2 linked regions of the Macaca fascicularis genome follow. The protein of the gene in region 2 interacts with the protein of the main gene of each other region in a biochemical or structural test. Links are inferred from orthologs where the notes say so. Each region holds a gene or a part of one and is shown on either strand. Other genes may lie near its edges.

Region 1 (7,155 bases), on a different chromosome or scaffold from region 2:
ACACGTATTAAATGAATTATTAAACCTAGTCCCCTAGGTTACAGAGACAGTCTCTCACTTAAGGGTCAATTTCTGAAACCCAAACAGAGCTGCCCTTCAGGCCTACTACAGAATTATTGATAAGCAATATTACAAGCTATGACAGTGTCCTTCTGGTCCTTTTTTTTTAGATTGTGTTTTCCTCTGTCACCCAGGCTGCAGTGCAGTGGCAGCAGCCTCCACCTCCCAGGTTCAAGGGATTCTCCTGCCTCAGCCTCCTGAGTAGCTGGGACTATAGGCGCCCACCACCATGCCAACTTTTGTATTTTTAGTAGAGGTGGGGTTTCACCATGTTAGCCAGGCTGGTCTTGAACTCCTGACCTCAAATGATCCACCCACCTGGGATTACAGGTGTGAGCCACTGCGTGCGGCCAACAGAACCTATCTTAACAAGTGGCTGTAGGCTGGGCACGGTGGCTCACGCTTGTAATTCCAGAACTTTGGGAGGCCGAGGCGGGCAGATCACGAGGTCAGATAGAGACCATCCTGCTAAGTAAGTGTAAGGTAAACTCTTAGCTTACTGCTAAGTAAGTTTAAGGTAAACAGTTAAGTGCTCAGTAATTAACAATTATTGTTATTAACCCCAACAAAAGCAAATGTTTAAAGATGTCTGAGCAGGAGAAATGATCAAAGAGGTTCTTGAAGATTAATCTCACCAATTACTTCTCCTCCAGAGTTAAAATATCAAATCTATCACCTCCTCCCCCTTCCTCACTCTGTAACATCCTTCCCAGTGAACATCATCCCCAGGAGGAGCCCAAAACCAGCAACTAAGGTTCTCTCATGTTAGTGAAAGGATTCCAGCTGGTGAGCCCCACCACTGTGGGGACAAACTCAATTGAGTTGAGCTATGGCTTCTGGGATGGAGGCTCACAGCCACCTAATCCCACCCTCAATGTACTCAGCCACCACGACCCAGGATTTACATCCAGCGTGCACTCAGAAGAGAATAAAACCAGTGATATTTCTTTTCAATTCTAAAGCATAGATATTTCCCCCTAAAACACAGGGAAGGGTCCAGGTTTTCAGAATGACCCTGTTTCTCAAGTCCCTTAACTGCTAACCTAGGAGCTTATCCTCTGGAGAGTTTCTGAAGAAAGGCTTCTCTTTGCCTCAGTTTCCTTATCTGTAAAATGGGTGATAATAATGGTACTACTTCCTGAGGTCCTGGTGAGAATTAGATGAGTCAATATGTATAAAGGGCCTAGAACACTACCTGGCACACAGTAAGTGCTCCGTAGGTGTTAGCTTAACTTCATTATGAACTTTAGTTCTTCCATCTTATTTGTACTGCTTTCTATTTGTGATCATATATTTTTCAATTACTAAGCATTAACAGTGGCCTTGTAAGCGACTATTTCAGCCCTAGTGCACCTTTGGGGCAGCAGTTTGGCTGGTGGCTTATAAATAGTCATCCCCCAGATCAGAGGCACCCATGCTTTTCTATAGACCCTGTGTAAGTTGTATCTGTTAATTTCCTTCATTGAGAAATATATACTGTAGATAAAAGAATCCAGCAAAGCCTTTAATTGGTAACTTTATTAATAACAATAGCATCTACACACATTTGAAAACACACATGTAGGAGACAGTTAAGATTTATTCAGTCTGGCCGGGCGCGGTGGCTCAAGCCTGTAATCCCAGCACTTTGGGAGGCCGAGGCGGGCGGATCACAAGGTCAGGAGATCGAGACCACAGTGAAAAAAAACCCCGTCTCTACTAAAAATACAAAAAATTAGCCGGGCGCGGTGGCGGGCGCCTGTAGTCCCAGCTACTCAGGAGGCTGAGGCAGGAGAATGGCGTGAACCCAGGAGGCGGAGCTTGCAGTGAGCCGAGATCGCGCCACTGCACTCCAGCCTGGGCAACAGCGTGAGACTCCGTCTCAAAAAAAAAAAAAAAAAAAAAAAAAAAAGATTTATTCAGTCTGTGATAATGTCTAGAGCTCATTTGGATTCATCAGACCCCTGCTATCAACTCCAAAACCCTTAGCCAAAAACAGAGTTGAATCACTCATCAAACCATCAGTGTCTTCCTCGGCAGAATCAAGGGTTGGACAGAAAGAGTAAATATTCTGTACCTCCACAAAATAAAACTAAAATGCAATTGTCCTGCATCTGAGAATACAAGGGTGGACAGTATGAGCTGCATGACTGTGAACCAATGAGGCTTCCCTTGGCCTCATTTGTAAAAAGGAGATTAACCCTGTAGTCCTGCCTATCTTGCATGGCCTCCTGGAAAGCAAATGAGGTGATGATGGCCGGGCGCGGTGGCTCAAGCCTGTAATCCCAGCACTTTGGGAGGCCGAGGCGGGCGGATCACAAGGTCAGGAGATCGAGACCACAGTGAAAAAAAACCCCGTCTCTACTAAAAATACAAAAAATTAGCCGGGCGCGGTGGCGGGCGCCTGTAGTCCCAGCTACTCAGGAGGCTGAGGCAGGAGAATGGCGGGAACCCGGGAGGCGGAGCTTGCAGTGAGCCGAGATCGCGCCACTGCACTCCAGCCTGGGCAACAGCGTGAGACTCCGTCTCAAAAAAAAAAAAAAAAAAAAAAAAAAAAAAAAAAAAAAAAAAAAATGAGGTGATGACTGTCAATTAAAAGCTCCTCTCCTTTAAGAGGGGAACACCAAGAGGGGAGAGTAAGAAAAGAAGGAAAAGGCTCTTTCCAGTGACCAATACGCTGAATTTGATGAAAATCCAAAAGAGGTTATGCTAAACTGGGAAGCGTAAGGGTGGATCTACCATTGCCACCTCCTCTTTGATGCAAAAAAAATCTTAACACGGCCCCCTCCCAGCTGTTGCACTGAGGTGACTAAGGACACATTTGAGGAAGTAGCTCCAAAAACATTTCCATTTTCACCGTGCCTTCACATACATCTAACGGAAATGAACAGCACCCATCATCCATCCACGAAAGCGATTAAGAAAACGATGGGATGGAAAAACTAACCCAACAATATTACATCAATACGTAGTATTTAGGTAAGTGTCCATAATGTGCCAGGCTGAAGATGCACGGGAAAACCACACCAGCCGGTCAAGGGCTTGAGAATACCATAAACAAGAAAACAGACGAACCAATTTCAGACAGCTGCTAGAAGGAAGATAAAATGAGACAGGCAAGTATGAGCGGCGCGAATTCCTTAGTGGATGACGTAGATCTCTGACAGGTGACTTTTGAGCCCGTATCTACACGGTAAGTGCCTCGCAGTGACCTGGGGCCGCAGCCTTACCCTTTAAAGCAGAGACCATTAAATGCAAAAATTATCAACAAAACGAGAAATAGGAATTTCAAAGTCTCAAAGTGAACGACGGAAACTGAAATCTACAAATTAGAAAGAGGCGCAGAATTTTGAATATTCATGTCGCCCAATCAGGAAAAGGCTGGGACCCGGCTGCGCGGGCTTCGTCCAAAATACACAGAACGGCTGGTATCCACAGGAGACCCCATCGCACAGCAGAACTGGTGACCGGACACAAAAGGTGCTGCCAAGCGTCAGTCATACACAGCTGTCACGCAGTGTTTGCGGAACCTGGGCTGAATCGTGCCCTGGAGTTCTCTTAAATAACAGCCGAACTCAGCCACTTCGTTTTAGAATGAAACAGACCCAAGAAGCCACCAGGGCGCCAGTGTGGGGCGGGAGTGGGGGCGGGTAAAGAGGCGGATTCCCAACATCCTAATTGAGAACCGACTCCTGGGAATGCTAAGCAGCACAATGAGTGAAGACACGCTCTAGATTCAAAAGCAAATCCAATCATGCACCGGGGACCTCAAGTTCCAAATGGTTAAAAACCTACGTGTGGCATTTCCCATGACCTTTACGCTAAAATTACTTTATGAGAAGAAACTAAGGGAGTAAGTGAACAAGCTCTTTTCTAGTGATTAGGTGGGTGGCTCTGAAAAGAGCCTTTGGAGTCAAGCAGCCGGCGACTCGAGCGAGCGAGCGCCAGGTCCCGGCAGGGACTCACTTGGAGCTGGTGTACTTGGTGACTGCCTTGGTGCCCTCGGACACGGCGTGCTTGGCCAGCTCGCCGGGCAGCAGCAGGCGCACGGCCGTCTGGATCTCGCGGGACGTGATGGTGGAGCGCTTGTTGTAGTGCGCCAGGCGGGACGCCTCTCCCGCGATGCGCTCGAAAATGTCGTTGACGAAGGAGTTCATGATGCCCATGGCCTTGGACGAGATGCCGGTGTCGGGGTGGACCTGCTTCAGCACCTTGTACACGTAGATGGAGTAGCTCTCCTTGCGGCTGCGCTTGCGCTTCTTGCCGTCTTTCTTCTGGGCTTTGGTGACGGCTTTCTTGGAGCCCTTTTTAGGAGCCGGAGCGGATTTTGCCGGTTCAGGCATGGTAAGACACAGTACAAACGCGGCTTAGCCAAGAAAAGAAGTAAGAGAATGGGCGGGCCTGATTCTTTTATAACCACCTTATGCAAATTAGGGCTCCGAAAGTCATTCATTTCCATTGGTCCGTGTGCGGACCTTGCGTTTTCAGCAATGCGTACGCAACAACACCGACTCTTGACTTGATTGGCCGGTTCTGAAGCCATATTAGGACCAATGAAAAACTCGTTCTAGACCCCACCCCTAGGAAAGCTTATAAAGGCTTTCCTCTTGGTTCTCTTTCAAGCTTATTTTGTAGCGAGGTTCTGAGCATTGTCTGTGTTTAACCTTGGTTTCAGTCATGTCTGGTCGTGGCAAACAAGGAGGCAAGGCTCGCGCCAAGGCCAAGTCGCGCTCGTCCCGCGCTGGCCTCCAGTTCCCGGTAGGGCGAGTGCACCGCTTGCTGCGCAAAGGCAACTACGCGGAGCGGGTGGGGGCTGGCGCGCCAGTCTACATGGCGGCGGTCCTCGAGTACCTGACCGCCGAGATCCTGGAGCTGGCGGGCAACGCGGCTCGGGACAACAAGAAGACGCGCATCATCCCTCGTCACCTCCAGCTGGCCATCCGCAACGACGAGGAACTGAACAAGCTGCTGGGCAAAGTCACCATCGCCCAGGGCGGCGTTTTGCCTAACATCCAGGCCGTTCTGTTACCAAAGAAAACTGAAAGCCACAAAGCCAAAAGCAAATAAATGCAGACAAACAAACCAAAGACCAAAGGCTCTTTTTAGAGCCACCCAAGTTTTCAAAAAAAGAGCTAATGCGCTATTTCGTGATCAGCCCTTCATTTGACACTTTGGTGGCTCTTAAAAGAGCCTTTGGGGTGAATGAGTATGGTGTCAAGCCTCTTAATTACTTGTTCTTGCCAGGCTTGTGACTCTCCGTTTTCTTGGGCAACAGGACAGCCTGGATATTGGGTAAGACGCCGCCCTGGGCAATGGTGACACCCCCGAGTAACTTGTTGAGCTCTTCGTCATTCCTCACGGCTAGTTGCAGATGGCGAGGGATGATGCGCGTCTTCTTGTTGTCCCGAGCCGCGTTGCCTGCTAGCTCCAGAATTTCCGCGGTCAGGTACTCGAGGACCGCCGCCAGGTACACCGGGGCGCCTGCCCCCACCCGTTCCGCGTAGTTGCCCTTGCGCAGCAAGCGGTGCACTCGCCCCACCGGGAACTGGAGGCCAGCGCGGGACGAGCGCGACTTGGCCTTAGCGCGGGCCTTGCCTCCCTGCTTTCCGCGTCCTGACATTACGGCTAAAATTGCAGTTACAGCTTCTTTTACAAGGAGAAGAATGTGGAAAGAATAACCAATTTGATGTAATTTATAAGAGCTACCGGGAGGGGTGAAGGGAAGTCGTTTGATTGGCTAAAAGCGGAGCCGTATCCAACAGCCAATAGAAAAACAGAAAGCCGCCTCTTGGTTTGCATCCTGCCCTGAAAGGAAATGACGGATTTCGTAAGTATCTACCAATCGCTGAGAGCCACATTAAAGCCCCTTATTTGCATGGCAGGATCTTTAAAGAAAGTAGGCTTTCAAACAAAATGTCTTGTACTATGGGGTTTTGCTTTGCTTTGTTTAGTTTACAGCCGGTAAATCCCAACATGGACCCTAAGAAACTGCAGAAGACATCCGTAGACTGAGAGTTACTCTCACGCAAGAGTAGGGGATTCTGAAGCCAATTATCCCCTTGAGCTCTAAACTACTAAGTTCCGCCCTTTCTGTCTCGTCACAGCCAAATTCCCTTTAAAAATACAAGTACTACTAAGGCTGCCTCCTTTCTCGCCCCTCAACTTAAGTCGCCCGCAGCGACTCCGCCCCACCCCCACCCGCCTGCACTCCTTGGAATTCAGTTTGACCAAGGCTAGATCTGTCATCTTCTTGACCTCCAGGAGGCGGCCTTGAAGCTTACTCCCTTGGCTTTCAAAATGTCGCCCTGCGTTTTTCTTCTTAGCTCGCCGACTTTTCTTATCCTGCTTCCCCATGCCATCTCTAAATCTGCGAGTCCAGCTGGATTCTGCTTCTCTATCTCCAATTCTTCACTTATCCCGAAGAGTCTTACCCATTTATATGCTTTCAACTAACATCCAAATTTGTTTCAGAAGCTCAGACCCTTGTGCCTAACTGCTTACTGAATACTTCAATCTACTACTTGTCCCAACGAGCACCTCAAACTCAAACTCAACCTCAGCCTATTCGAACGCGAACTCCTGCAAACAACCTCCCCTCTTTGCCCTCTTCCTGAAATGCGCCAGCATACTTACAGATAACTAAGCCGAAATCTACTCTACTCTTCCCTTCGTCTCAGCATGTCCAGTCAGTTGCTTCCTTAATATCCCTTCAATCTTTTTCTCCACGCTCCCTTGTCCACCTCATCATCATCCCTTAGATTTCAGCAACAGCCGGGAAAGGGTAACTTTGCTGTCAGGCATTAATTGCTGGTGTGACTCCAGCGGCCTTAGAAATCTTTCCTGAAAGCTCTTCTTTTTTTCTTTTATCCCATATAACAGATGAATCTGAAAGCTCTTGTGTTTCTTCCTCCTCAACGTCCCATCTCTGGGAGTTCTACATCTCCTACACCATTCTCACCCTTTCCTTAGTATCCCTTAAGGTCAGGTAGAATAATAGAGAGAAAAAATAGACTTGTGGTTTTTTTGGTTTTTTGAGGCGGAGTTTCGCTCTGTCGCCCAGGCTGGAGCACTTCTCAGCTCACTGCCACCTCCACCACCACCTCCTCTACCCCGCCC
Region 2 (7,083 bases):
AGAGTGTCTCAAGCTGAGTTGGGTCCGTGGGGCCAGGGCATCCCCTAAGGATCAGATCAGAATCCGAGGTGGAGACATTCAAGGTCAGGGCTGTGGCCCAAAGCTGGGCCTACTTGTCAATGAGCCCTCCTTCCTTGAGCTTGAAGTAGAAGAACTTCTCCAGGGCGCTGGCGCAGCGGCAGTACTCGCTGTCCGGGGGGTTGTACTCACGGCAGTTGGCGATGACCCGCTGCAGGTCGGCCACAAAGAGCTTCCGGGTCACATAGTAGCGGCTTCGCAGCCGCTCAGTCATGGTCTTCAGGTCTGGGGCAGCAGGAGGCGGAGCACAGCTTTAAGAGGCTGAGGACCACGGCAGGGCTGTCCACCGGGGTGGGCCCCATGGGGCTGCAGGGCGCAGTGAGGGCAGGAGCAGGTATGGGGATGGAAGAGGGGGGAAGGAGATGGAATGGAGGGTCCTCACCAATGGGGAAGCGGATGACCTCGTAGTAGTCAGGGGCCTCCGACTTCTTCACAGGCTCCATGAAGGGCCAGGCACTGGGGTGCGACTGGAGAGAAGAGCCGAGCTGGGGACAGCCCTGCTGCACCCACGCCAGCCCGAGAACGCCACCCACCTCACACTGCATCAAGAGGCCACAGCCATTGGTGCAGGGGCCCCGGAAAGGCAACCTGGTCTCCCCACCTTGATTTGGGCCAGCAGGTTTTTGAGGGTTGTGTAGAGCTGGTCGGGGTCCTTCAGCTCCTTCCTGGGGCGAGACACACCAAGTCTGAGGCTCCGAGTCCCTCTGCCCCGCCCCCAACCTGGCTCCTTTGACAAAACACTCACCCCTTCTCCTTCCCCAATGGCTTCCAGCCCGTCTCTCCTGCAAAGTGGGAAGTGGGAGAATGTCTCTAAGAATGCCGATCCGCATCCCAAGCAGCGTGCCCCCACTACCCCGCAACCGAGACCTCTGCTTACGAATGCCAGGGACACTCTCCACAGGGATCTGCCTCACTCCCTCCTTGAAGCAGCTGAGCCCCGGGTAGACCTTGCGGATCTGGGCCTGTTTGCGCTCAATCAGCTTCTTGATGATCTGAGGGAAGGAAGGGTCTAAGGGGCCAGCTCCAGCCCCAGCAACAACCCCTCCCAGGGCCACAGTCAGAGCCACCAGCTGCACCCACCCAGATGCAATGCCACCTAATCCAGCACCTCCCTTCATACCTTCCCCAAGGGAGCAGAGCAAGAACCAAGATCCTGGCCTGTCCCCTCCTCACTCACACACATACACGCATGTACACGTAGTACAGGTCTACACACGTGCGCTCGCCCTCCGCATGCACATTCATGAAAACTCCCACAGATGCGCACGTGCGCACACCACCTCTTTCTGCTTCTTGATGATGTGGGACAGCTCTGTGTAGGGGATGCGGGGATTCAGCTCACACTCCATCAGTGTCGCTCCCTCGTAGTCCTTGATGTAGCCCAGGTATCGGCTTTTGGGCACCTTGATGTCCTTGGAGAAACCCTGGGGGGTGGATGGTCATGACCCAGTCCATCCATATTTCCCAACTTCTGTAGTCCCTCCCCTGGGAGCACCAGAGGGGTGGCACGTGCCATGTGACACCTCCTGCTCCTGAACCTCCTCCTGGGGCACTGAGGGTTTGAACTGTCCCTGGAAAGGTCCCAGGTCAGCTGCCCACTCCTGACTCATCCCGAAGAGCCCCCCAGTTCCTTCAGGCTGCTCTACTGGCCCCCCAGTTCCTCCAGGCTGCTCTACTGGCCCCCCAGTTCCTCCAGCCTGCTCTACTGGCTCCCCAGTTCCTCTGGCCTTCTCTACTGGCCCCCCAGTTCCTCCAGCTTGCTCTACTGGCCCCCCAGTTCCTCCAGCTTGCTCTACTGGTCCCCCCAGTTCCTCCAGGCTGCTCTACTGGCCCCCCAGTTCCTCCAGGCCACTCTACTGGCCCCCCAGTTCCTCCAGCCTGCTCTACTGGCCCCCAGTTCCTCCGGCCTTCTCTACTGGCCCCCCAGTTCCTCCAGCCTGCTCTACTGGCCCCCCAGTTCCTCCAGGCTGCTCTACTGGCCCCCCAGTTCCTCCGGCCTGCTCTGACTCCCCAGTTCCTCTGGCCTTCTCTACTGGCCCCCCAGTTCCTCCAGCCTGCTCTACTGGCCCCCCAATTCCTCCAGCCTGCTCTACTGGCCCCCCAGTTCCTCCAGCCTGCTCTACTGGCCCCCAGTTCCTCCGGCCTTCTCTACTGGCCCCCCCAGTTCCTCCAGGCTGCTCTACTGGCCCCCCAGTTCCTCCAGGCTGCTCTACTGGCCCCCCAGTTCCTCCAGGCTGCTCTACTGGCCCCCCAGTTCCTCCGGCCTGCTCTACTGGCCCCCCAGTTCCTCCGGCCTGCTCTACTGGCCCCCCAGTTCCTCCGGCCTGCTCTACTGGCTCCCCAGTTCCTCCGGCCTTCTCTACTGGCCCCCCAGTTCCTCCAGCCTGCTCTACTGGCCCCCCAGTTCCTCCAGGCTGCTCTACTGGCCCCCCAGTTCCTCCAGCCTGCTCTGACTCCCCAGTTCCTCTGGCCTTCTCTACTGGCCCCCCAGTTCCTCCAGCCTGCTCTACTGGCCCCCCCAGTTCTTCCAGCCTGCTCTGGCTCCCCAGTTCCTCTGGCCTTCTCTACTGGCCCCCCAGTTCTTCCAGCCTGCTCTACTGGCCCCCCAGTTCCTCCAGCCTGCTCTACTGGCCCCCCCAGTTCCTCCAGGCTGCTCTACTGGTCCCCCAGTTCCTCCAGGCTGCTCTACCGGCCCCCCAGTTCCTCCGGCCTGCTCTACCGGCCCCCCAGTTCCTCCGGCCTGCTCTACCGGCCCCCCAGTTCCTCCGGCCTGCTCTACTGGCCCCCCAGTTCCTCCAGCCTGCTCTACTGGCCCCCCAGTTCCTCCAGCCTGCTCTACTGGCCCCCAGTTCCTCCGGCCTTCTCTACTGGTCCCCCAGTTCCTCCAGGCTGCTCTACTGGCCCCCCAATTCCTCCAGCCTGCTCTACTGGCCCCCCAGTTCCTCCAGCCTGCTCTACTGGCCCCATAGGCCCCCATTCTCCCCTGGGGCAGTGGCAGCAGAGGAAAGAAGATAGGCATGGAGACTTTCCTGGCAGGTGTCAGGTGAAGTAGGGGACATAAAGGGACTCCTACTCCATCAACAGAGGGGCTGGACAGAATGACCCCAGGCTTCAGGCAAAGGACCAGTGTGGGATAAGGCTACGGGTCACCTGCTTTTTGAAGTAGCCGATGGCGTACTCGTCCGCGTAGGTGAGGAAGTAGAGAATGTTGTGCTTGATATGATACTCCTTCAGGTGGTTCATCAGGTGGGTCCCATAACCCTGTGGGGGAGGGGAGCAGGACTCACCAGGAGCTGAGGATGGGCCTGGTGCTGGAGAGGTCTCAGAGCCCAGAGTGGAGCGGGTGGATTGGAAAGGAGGTGGGGAAAGGGAGAGCATCCAGGCAAAGAGAAAGAAAGGCAGCTGACAGAGGGAGGGGAGTTTATGGGAGAAAGTGAAAGGTAGAGGCTTTCTAAGCTCACTCTGGGCCAGGTGCAGTGCTTCCTGTTTTACAGACCGATTCTCAACCCCAGAGGCGAGTAGTACCACCTCTATTTTAGAAAAGAGAAAACTGAAACTCAGCTATGTTAGGAAATGCGTTCAAGGTCAGGCTGCCAGCCGTGGCAGGGCCGGGTCCAAACCCAACACAGGCCAGCAATTCTCAGTCCCTGGGCCTCAGAGTTGGGAGAGGAGGGAGAGGGAGTCACCAGAGGCCTGAGCAGGAGCAATGGCTCCCACACATCAGGGCCAACGATGCGCCACGCAGATCTGAGGTATGTGACACACAGAGCCAGCGACCCTACGAGGGGGTCTGTTGTAACAAAGGACAGAAGCCAAGGCTATCAGCATAGGACTACTGTAATAACGGTTAGTTCGGCTGGTCACCATGGCTCACACCTGTAATCCCAGCACTTTGGGAGGCCGAGGCAGGTGAATCACTTGAGGTCAGGAGTTGGAGACTAGCCTGGGCAACATGGTAAAACCCTGTCTCTACTAAAACACAAAAGTTAGCCAGATGTAATGGCGCATGCCTGTAGTCCCAGCTACTTGGGAAGCCAAGGCACGAGAATCACTTGAGCCTGGGAGGTCAAGGCTGCAGTGAGCCCTGATCATGCCTCTGCACTCCGGCCTGGCTGAGAGAGACCCTGTTTCAAAAAATAAATAAAAAATAAAAATTAAAGTAATTAATTCCCCCATGTATGTAAATGTTCTTGTGATGAAGAAAATCCTAGTCCACAGGTCACCAAAGCGTGGCCGCTTCTTGGGCTCTGTCTGTGAACAGGTGGTTTCCTAATCCACAGTTATCAAAGTACGGCTGCCACCTTGTGGGGATGTGAGGAACGGGCCACTAAGAGAAGAGCAAGGGGCTGCTGCATCCCACACCTCCCGCTGCTCCGAGCTGGCCCAAACTCCGGAGCGAGCCGTGGGCTGGGGAGCGGCACTCACCTTGACCTGCTCATTCGAGGTGACAGCACAGAAGACAATCTCCGTGAAGCCCTGGGTGGGAAACATGCGGAAGCAGATGCCACCGATGACCCGCCCATCCTTGATCAAGGCCAGAGTCTTGTGCTTCCTAAGAGAGAGGTGGGCACGTCACAGCCCCTGCCTGTTTCCTTCAGGTCCCCAGAGCCCTGGAAGTCTGAACTGTAGTCAGGGTTGGGCAGTGAGAAATAAGAATGCTCAAAGGTTGAACTTCAGAAGTGGGGAGCAGGGGATCTCCAATTTTGAGGAGTCAAGAGGCCGAGGAGGAAGGGACCCGGGGGTCCTGCCCTGGGGGAGGGGCTCTCTGGGGGACGCACGGGTCAAAGACGAGGCGGGCGATATACTCCTTAGGCATGCGTGGCAGCTGGTGGGAAAAGACATTCTGCAGCCCCACGAGCCAGAGCAACACCCGCCGGTTGGCCTTGGGCGTCACCGAGTTGCCGATGACGTGGAACTCAATGATGCCACGGCGCTCCTCCAGGCGGGCTGTCTCATCCCGGGCCGCATTGGCCGAAAGCAGGCTCGTCTGGGCACAGAAGAGGGGCGGTGAGCTGGGGTTTCAGGTTGGTGGGGGTCCCCCAACTGGTCAGCAGGTCGGGCTGCCCACCTCAGGCCCCAGCATGGCAGCAGGGTCAGTGATGGTCAGCATGACCTCATTGACTAGCTCCATGGGGATGTCGCCCATCACACGGAGCCTCTTGGCATCCTCCAGGGTCAGGTTCTCCGGGAGCTTCCTCTTCTCGCCTATTGCGGAGGCAGGCAAGGTTGGTCAGGATCAGTAAAAAAAGGTTTGGGAAGGAGTGAATGATGGTCAGAGGTCAGGGATCAAGTATCTACCTGGCATAGGCTCGGCCCCTGCAGAATCCAGACTCAGGGAGCTGTTGCTGCCTCCGCCCATGCTGGGGCTGAAGATGGGGGTGCTGGGAACAACTGCTGCACTGACCGAAGCTGAGGAGAGAGAGAGAGAGGTCAGGGACAGGGGGACTGAAGCTGAGACAGAGAGAGAGAGAAGTCAGGGACGGGAGGGCTGAAGCTGGTGACAGGTCCCTCAGTGGGATCCAGGGCCTCTGGCCCAGCTGAGCCCTCTTCCACCCAGGAGGCTTAGCTCAGCCAGGCAGGCCAGACACCCTACAGAGCATACCATGGCACATACCTGGCCGGGGTACCAGCTGTGTCCCCTCTGAGGGTGGCATGGTGAAGCCTGACTCCCAGATTGGAGAGTTTGCCCCATAGATCTCCTCCTCCAGCATGGACAGGAATCTGTAGGGAGGACACAGTCTGTCCCACAACTCTGTTCTCCAAGGGTGCAGCCTGGGCCAGGCGGCAGAGGGACTGGAGGCTGGTCAGAGCAGACCCTGCTCTTAGGGAACTGGGGACCTGAAAGAGGGGACAGCCCCTGTCTTCTGGGAGCCTCCAATTGAAGGTAAGACAACAGGACACATCCAGGACAGAGATCAAAGAAGCTCAGTTTCACCATGCTGTGTAGCACAGGGAGACAGGTCTGAGCTGATGTCATCCTGTGCTGTGTGGCCAGGGAGGGCACCTTGTCACCCTGAATCCCCTCACTGCCCTCAGTATCACAATGGGCTCAGACTCCACCCCACCTTGCCATCTCTTGTTCCCACCTGATGGCGGAGGGCACTAGAGAGCCAGGATTCGTCAGTGAGGGTTTTTTGAACAGGGGAGTTATGACCCAGATTTTAAAAGGTGTGGCCGAACAGAAGAAAATTGTACAGAAAAGACCAGAACAGGAGTAGAAATTGGTTTCACTTCAAGCATAAGCTCTGATTTCTTGGAGAGCTGTGCAGGGAAGGAGTCTGAGGCTGTGTCCAGGCCCCCATGGGAAACAATTAGTAACATCTACCGGGGCGTAGGGTGGGGTGGGGGCAGCGTTAGCTTGGGCTATGTACCTGCCATCCCCAGACTAGTACTAGCAAGTTGCTTCTGGGCCATGGGCAAGTCTGCCAGGTAGACGCCCAGATCCCAGAAGGCCCATGGAGGGAGAGGAGGGACCAATCCAGGAAGCCTTCCTGGAAAAAAGGGGACAACAGGGAGGATGTGAACTTGGGGCCAAATCCTGATAGGCCAGAAGGAGCCTTACTTGGGGAAGTGAGTGAGGATGAGGGTCCTCTTCTCGGGCACCAATTTGTCCTTCTCCACTCGGAACTTTTCCAGCAGCTGCCGGCGGGTAACGGTGAAAATGGACCGGAGAAGGCTTCGCCCAAAGACATGAGTGGTTTCGTAGCGGGGGAGACTATCACAGCTCTGGGGCACGTGGCAGTAACAGAGCCATCTGGAGTAGGGAGTTGAGGGGGAGACAGGTGAGGGCGGAAACCACTGAACCCAGGCTGGGCCTGCCAGCCTCCCCCTAAGCTGCCCCTGGCTGGGCCTACCTGGTGTAATTGACCTTGTAGGTAGCCACATCTTCAGCCTGAGACCTCTGCCGAAACTGGGCAGGTGTCTCAAGCTTCCAGTAGTTAAGGCAGAGCAAGAACATCTTTGAGAGCTCGAACATCGTCTGCCGCTCCCGGGGAGCCAGGTGAC

The links.
Region 1: of the proteins of KAT2A (region 2) and H2BC21, one has a biochemical effect on the other in vitro, tested with the Homo sapiens proteins (2 studies listed by BioGRID). The link is inferred for Macaca fascicularis from reciprocal best matches to the Homo sapiens genes KAT2A and H2BC21.

What each region holds. Positions count from the first base shown.
Region 1 is NC_088375.1:111,387,718-111,394,872, reverse strand, and holds H2BC21 (histone H2B type 2-E), read right to left. Parts: upstream 4,425-7,155; 5' UTR 4,383-4,424; coding exon 4,002-4,382; 3' UTR 2,722-4,001; downstream 1-2,721. Other genes in the region: H2AC20 (histone H2A type 2-C), read left to right, coding at 4,717-5,106; H2AC21 (histone H2A type 2-B), read right to left, coding at 5,267-5,659. UniProt on the Homo sapiens protein: Core component of nucleosome. Nucleosomes wrap and compact DNA into chromatin, limiting DNA accessibility to the cellular machineries which require DNA as a template.
Region 2 is NC_088390.1:63,157,684-63,164,766, forward strand, and holds part of KAT2A (histone acetyltransferase KAT2A), read right to left. Parts: coding exon 6,933-7,083; intron 6,833-6,932; coding exon 6,641-6,832; exon of another isoform or gene 6,450-6,640; intron 5,800-6,449; coding exon 5,693-5,799; intron 5,488-5,692; coding exon 5,377-5,487; intron 5,284-5,376; coding exon 5,147-5,283; intron 5,066-5,146; coding exon 4,857-5,065; intron 4,631-4,856; coding exon 4,504-4,630; intron 3,340-4,503; coding exon 3,229-3,339; intron 1,503-3,228; coding exon 1,359-1,502; intron 1,071-1,358; coding exon 956-1,070; intron 861-955; coding exon 824-860; intron 744-823; coding exon 680-743; intron 546-679; coding exon 461-545; intron 304-460; coding exon 110-303; 3' UTR 1-109. UniProt on the Homo sapiens protein: Protein lysine acyltransferase that can act as a acetyltransferase, glutaryltransferase, succinyltransferase or malonyltransferase, depending on the context.